Saccharomyces cerevisiae S288C: one gene and its partners. The gene in region 1 interacts genetically with each later gene. Each region holds a gene or a part of one and is shown in the gene's direction. Other genes may lie near its edges. The genes, in order: MDY2, IRS4 and SLY1.

Region 1 (3,297 bases):
TTTTCCTCCGGGACGTGAAATAACCGCCGAGGTTATTCTCGGAGCATTCTTTTTTGTGGCTTTTGATCATCCATCATCATCATCATCATCATTATTACTACTACTACTACTACTACTATTATTATTATTATTATTATTATTATTAGTATTATTATTATTATATTGATTAGTTATTAGATAGATACAATTAAGAAAAATTTATGTAAAAGGTCAGAATAAACAGCATTTTTCTCCTCTTTTTTTATTTTTAAAAAAAGAAAAAGAAACTTCTAGTAAAGTGCAGCACATTCAAGTGTGATTAGTTGAAAATGGAAGCAATTTTACGGTTCAATTTCTTCAAGAAACCGCCTTCCTTCTTGGTTTCCTTCTTCTCACTGACGGCGGCGGAAGCTTGCTTCTTAGTTTCTTCAACTTTGTTGGCAGCTTCGGTCTTCTTTTGTTCGACACCATCAGCAATGTTTTGTTCTTCCTTCTTCACCTGTTCAGCTTCTGGAGTAGCTTCATTTTTTAGGTTGTCGATAGAAGCTTCAGCTTGTTCCTTTACTTCTTGGCCCTTGTTTTGCAAAGATTCTTTGGTTTCTTCCAACTTTTGTTGGACATCTTGGGCGGCAGTTTCAGCTTTGTTTTGAATTTCAGACATTATTAATTGATATAAACGTAGTTTTGTATGTTTCTTTGATTTGAACTTTTAAGTATACAGAGAAAAAAACCGATCAAAGAAAACTAAAGTATAATGAGGTTAAAAACGAAAGTAATAAAGTAGAAAGGCTATCAAGCAAACTGAGATGATCTTCGACGTAAAAACTCGCTCTATATATATACGCCATATAAGCCCATCGGCGATGGGGGACAACACGAAGAAACAAGAGAAGAGGAGAACCGCACAGAAAGCAGCAGAAACAGAGCAAACCAGCATTAACTAAAGATGATAAAAATAAAATTAGGTAAGAAACCTTAATTGGATATACAAAAATACACTGGAGGCACAAATCGCCATCGATATAAAACACGATAAAGCCCTGGTGCACCCATAAACCACACGTTTAACTATTTGGGTCGGGGCACGACGAAATCTAGGGATAGGCACCCGGACCGTCGGGGCAATACTAGGCGCACACCGCGCTCGTGAAGCAGACCTCCCGGCGAGTTTAGCTGCGCCACGTACTGCTCTAACGCGAGAGACTCCTGAAACACAGGTCTAGAAAGAAGGGGCCCCAAAACCCAGCTCCACAGACCGCCCGTAAGCATATCGAGCAACAGGCCACTTAAGTTACGCCACCCGAACACCTCACCTTCTTCACGCAGCAAGAATCCGTTTACCCGGTGCACAACCTCCGCGAGCTCTGCCGCACTAAGATATTCTGACAGAGGCGAGACGGAGGAGCAGCCAAACACGTGATCCCCAATGTCGTAACGCCCGCACCGCACAAAGCTAGTGCCATCGTCGCCCACGATTGCCGCCGGCTCGCTACCGGGAAGCTGTGTACTAAATTGTGGCGTTTCAAGGCTGCTGCGAGACTCATCGAACCGCCGGGGCACTCGTACCACCCGGGTCACCTGGAACTCGGCAGAGCCCCGAGCAGCATACACATTCGGGAAATGTGTAATACACAATTTGTGGTCTTCGTCGTGCTCTGTGGGTTTAGCGTCTTCGGAACCGAGGTCTTCGTAGAATGAATACGAAAACTCATGGTAATTAAAAAATAACGCCCTTTCGCTCGTATTTGCGTTATCTTCTTCCTTTTGATGGCTATCGCACATCTAGTAAGGGTTAGATTGAGTATTGTCCTCTAATGTAACTTTTTCCTCTTATTCCTCTCCTCCCCTTAGCTATTATATATCTTTTTTACCGAATCTTGAATTAGGAATAGTTTTAAAATCAGGCCGGAGGCCGAGCTTGCGACAACTACGACCAAAAAAAACAAAGGAAAAACGAAAAGAAGAAAACATGCACAGGAGAACATAGTTGGAGAAAAGGGTTAGAACAGACCGATACAGAGATAAACTAGCGAAGAATAATAACTTTATACAAAATTAATCATGAGCACATCCGCCAGCGGTCCAGAACACGAGTTCGTTAGTAAATTCTTGACCTTAGCCACTTTAACTGAACCGAAGCTACCAAAAAGCTATACTAAACCTCTGAAGGATGTTACCAATTTGGGTGTCCCGTTGCCTACTTTGAAGTATAAATATAAGCAGAATCGTGCCAAGAAGTTAAAACTGCACCAAGATCAGCAAGGTCAAGACAACGCCGCCGTCCACTTAACCTTAAAGAAAATTCAAGCTCCCAAGTTCTCCATCGAGCATGATTTCAGCCCATCAGATACTATCTTACAAATAAAACAGCACTTGATCAGCGAGGAAAAGGCCTCCCACATAAGCGAGATAAAACTGCTTTTGAAGGGCAAAGTCCTCCACGATAACCTGTTCTTATCGGATTTGAAGGTCACGCCTGCCAATTCCACAATCACAGTCATGATTAAGCCGAATCCGACTATATCTAAGGAACCCGAAGCCGAGAAATCCACTAACTCCCCTGCTCCTGCTCCTCCACAGGAACTCACTGTGCCCTGGGATGATATCGAGGCTCTTCTGAAGAACAATTTCGAGAACGATCAGGCTGCGGTTAGGCAAGTCATGGAGCGTCTACAAAAAGGCTGGTCTCTGGCCAAATAAGATTAGTATAGTTAGTACGTACATACTTGTTATTTTACACAGTTGCGCTTTTTATCACGGTTGCGCTTACTATTTTCTTCTTTCCTTTGGGCGGCTACTCGCCCTTTGTCTATTTCTCGCCATCGCCACATACTCTCTACCGCGATCAATCTTTTCCTGGGTAATACCATTCAACGCAACCTTCTTCTTCATCAGGACTTTCTCAAAGATATCATTCGGATTGAGCAATCTTTTTGGGAAATTTTGAATCACTTGCAAAATCTCCATATCTGCCTCTTCCTGCGTCTTAATCTTGTTCTTTAATCTTTTGAAAGTTGAATCAGAGTCATTACTACCACCGAAGGTGTACGAAGAGTACTGTCTAAACAGTTTCTGGCTTTTACTCTCCAAAAACTCGCTTTCGCTCAATTTCAGTATCCCCAAAGCCACTTTAAATAAAAAATGAGACTCTTCATAGAATAAACAGTCCCATATTCTCAGGGTCGTTTCGATGGGCACCACGCCCACAAAACAGCTCATAAACCAACTTGCCGTACACAGCGTCAGCGTAGGCAGCCTGCAGAGATATTCTTCCCCCGATGCTGGCCCTGATATCTGGTCAGTGCTGCCATTGCCATT
Region 2 (3,758 bases), on another chromosome or scaffold:
ACGACTTTGATGGGTAATTGAGTATGTATAGTTGATTTGAATGCGCCAAACCTCTCTATGTCTATTGACAGTTTATACTCCACGGAACCAAAATTGGCTTTTATACTTTCTGGATAAGATTGCGATATTGGCTGTTCAAAAGTGTAAATATAATCGCCCGGTCGAAAAATAAAAACTTCTTTAGAATCTTTGGATGGTGTAAGATAGTTATCCTCTTGCTCAGGACTTGGAGTAGCGCCACTATTACTGAATGTTTTTGTAAACAAATCAGATATGAAGGTATGAGGTGACAAAGAGTTACCGTGAAAATTTGCCGGTACCGATCCTCTTCGACTAGATGATGGTAATGGTGTCTTTTGAATAGCCAACAGTTTACTGTCGTCATGGGAAACATCACTTGATACTGGCTTGTTACTCAAATTATCGGATGACAATGAGTTGCGCTCATAGGCATCCAGACTTAGATTGCTATTATCTTTAGGGGGTTCAGCGGTTGGTGGGATATATACTGAAGCACCGCTTTTTTCAAGTAGATAATCTTCATCGCTCATAGATGGGCGATTGGACGAATTATTTGAGCTGTGATGTTCTAAGGTGAAAGAATTCATGCCGTCATCCGCCTGATAAAATGGCCATGTGTGATTGACAACAGTTTCAACATCTGAAAATTCTTCTCTCTTCGGTGGTATACCTTCCGGCCACTCTGTTCTGGATATTCCTTTGAAGGTTATCGATATACTTTTTAATTTATTCGGTTTCAACACCCTGACGATAAGAGATCCTCGTAAGATACTGGGGGCTATTTCAGACAGTCCGTTAGTTTCAAATCCTTTTAAAAACACTATGGGTTCGGCAAGCTTTACAAAGACTTGTAGTGTTGTTGTCTGCACCAGTGGGACGGCATCAGGTGCTGCATTTATATCTTGCTCCATGGGAAACACTGGAGCTACAGTATCATTTTCTGTATTGAATTGGAGCATGTAGTCATAGAGGAACAAGCAATATTCTATGGGATTCCAGCGTATTTGTGCGGAATGGAACTTTCTGTTGGTTGTCTTTCTTGTTGCTTGTCTCTTATTTCAACGAGTTGTTCCCATTTTTGATAAGATGGGGATAGCGAAATAAGACAAAAGAGTCAATATTTGGCAATTCGCTCAAAGAGGTAAAAAGACGGCGCTATTATATATCTGCGTATATATACTACAAACAGCCGGGAATACATTTGGCAAAGTCCTCGTACGACAATAGGGCAATTGCTAGTAGTGTTAAGCAGTTTTTCAGGTGAACTTGCAAACCGAAAAAGAGGAAAAATTGGTTCACATAGTAAAATGCACTCTCTCGAAGGAAGTGTTCGGTGAAAGCCACGATATGCCGCTGGAAATTACAGTTCCTTGATTAAAGATTCTACTGTTTGCTTCAACTTGTTAATTTGGTCTTCATTGGCGTTTGTAATTTCTTTGAGAAGGTCGTTGACTTTTATTAGGTCATAATAGTTTTCGTAAATGGTATTCTTGATAGAATTGTTAGTCTCGGTTTCTTTGCCCAAGAGCTTATTGTGAATTTGTACTAGCCTCTTAAAGGGCAGGTTCTTTATCTCTTCTTCTGCATCTTCTGACCCCTCCTTGAGATCCTCTTCAGTTGCACTCAATTCGTCATCTTTCACTGGTTTCTCAGTGTTTGCTTCGGTATCTATATTCACATCTGTGACTTGCTCCTCCCCAGAATGAGCCTCGCTGGCTTTTTCCCCTATACGTGCTTCTTGACGACCTTTATTCGGTTCATTTTCCAAGTTGTAGAATTCTCTTAAGAGCAATCTTCTATCTTTGTTCAGACTGCTCACCCTCAGGGACTTTTTGTGACTAATTTGTTCTGCCATCTGTACTTAATATCCTCGTCAGATTCCGTCTCACCGCAAATACGCCTCTTCTATGCAGAGCCTCACCTATACGTACAACTTACTGCCTCTTGTTTCCACGCAGCGAAAATTCGATGATTTCTCGTATAAAGCATATCGAAGTTGAATCATCACAAAAAGGCCCATTGTGTAATGGACCCTTGCCACAACAACACTCTCGTTGCACAGGTAGAACATACTTTTAAGGCCTGGGTAGATTCATTTTTTTGACATAGGAAAAGATTAGCAGAGGAGTATGAGACTTTCGTTTGGTAAACAGCGTTATCATGGCGGTACAACAGTAACTTTGACTGAACAAGGAGCTTCAGATTCCCTTCGCGCTGCGCAAGCTATCTTCCAGAACCATTCCAATGAGGTCAGCAGTCCATGCCCTCCAGTAACGGTGAGCAGGAATCCTCAAACTAGGTTATCAGAGCCATCGCTACAAAAGTCAGGGCGGAAACAAGAACAAAAGAAGGCACGCATACGAACAAAACAGGTACCTAAGATTAAAACAACGGCGCCTAATGATGTTGAGTTGTCTAAGAAACACAGGTCAAGCCCTGCAGGTAAAGATAATGTTAGTAGTACTGCTCAAATGGCAGCTGCTTTAGCGCATTCACAATCGAAACTTAGTTCTGACAATAACTCCTCCCATTCTTCGGCATTGGATACACTAAAAGTTCTAGAAACTCCGAACTTGAATGGCTTGCTGGGCATTCATTCACGCTCAAGCTCAAGAAACGGCTCCAATGAATCACTGACGCCTGGCCAAAGAACTCCCGACAATAGATCTCAAGAGAATTTACTTACTTCCTTTAGTAGCGGTAGAAGGCTATCCTCGAGCTCTATGGAGCCTGCAACTAATAAAGACAGCAACAAAGCTCTGCCCAAACGCAGGCCGTCTCCTCCCTTGCAATCATCACTTGTCGGCAGTGGTCAGCTTCATGAAAATGAAAACCTATCATCAATTAGCATCGATTCCAGACATAGTCTCAATCCGGACACTTCAGACGTTATTTCTAATAGGTCACAAACAAGTCTATCTCAAACAATTAATCAACTCTCGTTATGTGAATCAGAGCCATCTATTGCAAGCTCAAACACTACTACTACAACGAGCAACCAGGGAAGTGGTTTGCCCAACTTGGTTCCGAACTATTCATCCGATATGAGGAAGAAGAAGCTTGTTAACAAGTTCAAAAGGAAAGTATTTGGTAGTAAGCCCAAGCACTTATCTTCACAATATGAAATGGATGCAAGCAGCGAAGAACTGGGACAACATGAACAACAACCGAGTATGAGATTTAAAACAACATTACGTAAAACCTCTGTAAGTACAAACGCAGAAAATGATCATGCATCCTCTCTACATGAGGGAAATCTGAGGTATAAGTACAATCCGTCCAACGACACGTATGATGTGTATGACGATACTGATTCTGATTCTGAATCTGATCAGAACCAGGACGCCTTGACCAAGCCACGCAAAAGAGATAGAATTAAGAGAAAGATCAGGAATTCTGCCAATAAAACTGCACATCATAGGCCTATCCACCGCACGAGAGATCGGAAATTCAATGAGGATAAACCCTGGAAATCACATACAGATATAACTTTCGTAACAGACAACGAAAGGAAGCGTTACGAAAGCATGTGGGTAAGCAACAGACACCGTCATTTGAACCTGTTGAGCTGGTGGCCCTCTATAACGGGTGATTCCGGAGCAATTAATACTTTACCCGAAGATGGATTGATATTGGGTATCATAGTCCGTGATATCTGGAAGCGGTCTAACTTGCCCAATAGTCTATTGGCAGAAATTTACACGAAGGTAGACACAAGAAAAGATGGTACTTTAGAT
Region 3 (3,758 bases), on another chromosome or scaffold:
GGTGCTGGTAACATCAAGCTGACCAAGGACGGTAAAGTGTTGCTGACCGAGATGCAGATCCAGTCGCCTACAGCGGTACTGATTGCTAGGGCAGCTGCCGCGCAGGATGAAATCACGGGCGATGGGACCACGACGGTTGTGTGTCTTGTGGGTGAATTGCTTAGACAAGCGCACCGTTTCATTCAAGAGGGCGTGCATCCGCGGATCATCACTGATGGGTTTGAGATTGCGCGGAAGGAGTCCATGAAATTTTTGGACGAATTCAAGATCAGTAAGACGAACCTTTCCAATGATAGAGAGTTCCTTCTGCAAGTGGCCCGGTCGTCGCTGCTAACCAAGGTGGACGCTGACTTGACGGAGGTCTTGACGCCCATTGTAACGGATGCGGTGCTAAGCGTGTACGACGCGCAGGCTGACAATTTGGATTTACACATGGTTGAGATCATGCAGATGCAGCACTTGTCTCCTAAAGATACCACTTTTATTAAGGGTTTGGTATTGGACCACGGTGGTAGGCATCCTGACATGCCCACCCGTGTGAAGAACGCGTATGTTTTGATTTTGAACGTATCTTTGGAATACGAGAAGACTGAAGTTAACTCTGGGTTCTTTTACAGTTCTGCGGACCAAAGGGACAAGTTGGCCGCTAGTGAGAGGAAGTTTGTGGATGCCAAGTTGAAGAAGATCATCGACTTGAAAAACGAAGTTTGTGGCATGGATCCAGACAAGGGTTTTGTTATCATTAACCAAAAAGGCATTGACCCCATGTCTTTAGACGTGTTTGCCAAACACAACATCTTGGCTTTGAGAAGGGCCAAGAGACGTAACATGGAAAGATTGCAATTGGTCACTGGCGGTGAAGCTCAGAACTCTGTGGAAGACTTGTCGCCTCAGATTCTTGGGTTTTCTGGCTTGGTCTACCAAGAAACCATAGGCGAGGAAAAATTCACATACGTTACAGAGAACACTGACCCCAAGTCTTGCACCATCTTAATCAAGGGCTCCACTCATTATGCCCTCGCTCAAACAAAGGATGCGGTGAGAGATGGTCTCAGAGCTGTGGCAAACGTTCTCAAGGACAAAAACATCATTCCAGGCGCTGGTGCGTTCTACATCGCCCTTTCGAGATACCTAAGATCTGCCAACATGAACAAGTTGGGTGCCAAGGGTAAAACAAAGACAGGTATTGAGGCGTTCGCAGAAGCATTGCTGGTAATTCCAAAGACTTTGGTGAAGAACTCAGGATTCGACCCATTGGACGTGCTCGCAATGGTGGAGGACGAGTTGGATGACGCTCAGGATTCTGACGAAACGAGATATGTTGGTGTGGACTTGAACATAGGTGATTCTTGCGACCCTACCATCGAGGGTATTTGGGATTCCTACCGCGTACTAAGAAATGCTATTACCGGTGCTACAGGTATTGCCAGCAACTTGTTATTATGCGATGAATTGTTAAGGGCAGGTAGATCCACTTTGAAAGAAACACCACAGTAATAAAAAATAATAATAATAATAATAATAACAAGAACACGAATACTAGTAGTAATAGTAGTCAGATACAAAAATTCTATGTAACATATTTTTTCCAGTCACTATCATCATCATCATATTTTGTATATATACATTTATTATATAAAATATCATACCAATTTTTGCCAAAGAACACCGTTTCCCTCTTCGCGTTGACCACAGTAATTGCAGAAACGACAAAAAAAAAACAAAAAAAAGAAGCACCATTCTAACTCAGCCTTTAATAACCTGACATGATAACTTATAATAGTCATTGCCAGTTGCTAAGTATCTTTGACCAAAAATCACAACATCATGGCTGTGGAGGAAATTGCGTCCCGCAAGGACATTAGTTTAAGAGATATGCAAATCTCTGCCATATTAAAAATGCTGTTTTTAAATAAGGATTTGAACAACAACGACAACATCACCACCATCACAGACGATATTTTTAACCAGCAGGAGATCATCTGGAAGGTGTTGATACTGGACATCAAGAGCACTGCTACCATATCTTCTGTTCTCAGAGTCAATGACCTGCTGAAAGCTGGTATCACCGTTCATTCCTTGATTAAACAAGACAGATCTCCCTTGCCAGATGTCCCTGCCATATATTTCGTCTCCCCCACAAAGGAAAACATTGACATTATAGTCAATGACTTGAAAAGCGACAAGTATTCTGAATTTTACATCAACTTTACCTCATCTCTGCCCAGAAACCTCCTGGAAGATTTGGCTCAACAAGTCTCCATCACGGGTAAATCTGATAAAATCAAACAAGTTTACGACCAATACCTGGACTTCATTGTAACTGAACCGGAACTGTTCTCACTAGAAATTTCAAACGCATACTTGACATTGAATGACCCGAAAACCACAGAAGAGGAAATCACGGGCTTATGCGCCAACATCGCGGACGGTTTATTCAACACTGTCTTAACGATCAATTCTATCCCCATTATAAGAGCAGCTAAGGGTGGGCCTGCTGAGATCATCGCTGAGAAACTGGGTACAAAATTACGTGATTTCGTCATCAATACCAATTCCTCCTCCACTTCCACTTTGCAGGGAAATGATTCTCTGGAAAGAGGAGTGTTGATTATTTTGGATAGAAACATAGATTTTGCCTCCATGTTTTCACATTCGTGGATTTATCAGTGCATGGTCTTTGATATTTTCAAATTATCAAGAAACACCGTTACTATTCCACTTGAAAGTAAGGAAAACGGAACTGACAATACCACCGCAAAACCATTAGCCACGAAAAAATATGATATAGAGCCAAACGATTTTTTTTGGATGGAAAACTCTCATTTGCCATTCCCAGAAGCTGCAGAGAACGTTGAAGCGGCATTGAATACGTACAAGGAGGAAGCCGCAGAAATTACTAGGAAAACTGGTGTTACCAACATATCAGATTTGGACCCAAACTCGAATAATGATACGGTTCAAATTCAGGAAGTCGTAAAGAAACTGCCAGAGTTAACAGCTAAGAAAAATACTATTGATACACATATGAATATTTTTGCTGCATTGTTGTCACAATTGGAAAGTAAAAGTCTTGATACTTTCTTTGAAGTTGAACAAGACCCTGGAAGCACCAAAACAAGATCTAGGTTTTTGGATATACTAAAAGATGGTAAGACAAACAATCTTGAGGACAAACTGAGATCGTTTATTGTTCTTTACTTGACATCAACGACAGGCTTACCAAAGGATTTTGTCCAAAATGTGGAAAACTATTTCAAGGAAAACGATTACGATATCAATGCTTTAAAATATGTTTATAAGCTAAGAGAGTTCATGCAATTATCAAATATGTCGTTACAAAATAAATCTTTGGAAGATGGATCCGATTCCGCTTTCAAACCAAGCAACTTAACATTATCCGGTATCTATGGCTTAACTGAAGGCAAATTACAAGGAGGTGTAGGAAGTTTAATATCAGGTATTAAGAAGTTACTGCCTGAAAAGAAAACCATCCCGATAACAAATGTTGTTGATGCGATAATGGACCCTTTAAACAGCTCTCAAAAAAATTTGGAGACTACTGACAGTTACCTATACATCGACCCAAAAATTACAAGGGGTTCCCATACCAGAAAGCCAAAAAGACAATCTTATAATAAGTCACTAGTGTTTGTAGTTGGTGGCGGTAACTACCTAGAATATCAAAACCTCCAAGAATGGGCACATTCCCAGTTGCATAATCCCAAAAAAGTCATGTATGGTAGCACAGCCATTAC

The links.
Region 2: mutations in MDY2 (region 1) and IRS4 together harm fitness more than expected from each alone (negative genetic interaction), as found in Saccharomyces cerevisiae (2 studies listed by BioGRID).
Region 3: mutations in MDY2 (region 1) and SLY1 together harm fitness more than expected from each alone (negative genetic interaction), as found in Saccharomyces cerevisiae (3 studies listed by BioGRID).

Annotation. Positions count from the first base shown.
Region 1 is NC_001147.6:107,640-110,936, reverse strand, and holds MDY2 (Mdy2p), read left to right. Parts: upstream 1-2,040; coding exon 2,041-2,679; downstream 2,680-3,297. Other genes in the region: ZEO1 (Zeo1p), read right to left, coding at 299-640; SHR5 (Shr5p), read right to left, coding at 1,048-1,761; Rab GTPase-activating protein MSB4, read right to left, coding at 2,749-3,297. UniProt on the Saccharomyces cerevisiae protein: Required for efficient mating. Involved in the production of alpha-factor, the KAR9 and TUB1 location to the shmoo tip and nuclear migration into pheromone-induced shmoos.
Region 2 is NC_001143.9:476,456-480,213, reverse strand, and holds the start of IRS4 (Irs4p), read left to right. Parts: upstream 1-2,150; coding exon 2,151-3,758. Other genes in the region: ALY1 (Aly1p), read right to left, coding at 1-980; VPS51 (Vps51p), read right to left, coding at 1,382-1,876. UniProt on the Saccharomyces cerevisiae protein: With TAX4, acts as a positive regulator of INP51 activity and phosphatidylinositol 4,5-bisphosphate turnover. Negatively regulates signaling through the cell integrity pathway, including the MAP kinase SLT2. Also seems to be involved in rDNA silencing.
Region 3 is NC_001136.10:836,565-840,322, forward strand, and holds the start of SLY1 (syntaxin-binding protein), read left to right. Parts: upstream 1-1,827; coding exon 1,828-3,758. Other genes in the region: chaperonin-containing T-complex subunit CCT6, read left to right, coding at 1-1,497. UniProt on the Saccharomyces cerevisiae protein: Able to suppress the functional loss of YPT1. SLY1 is essential for cell viability. May interact indirectly, or directly with YPT1.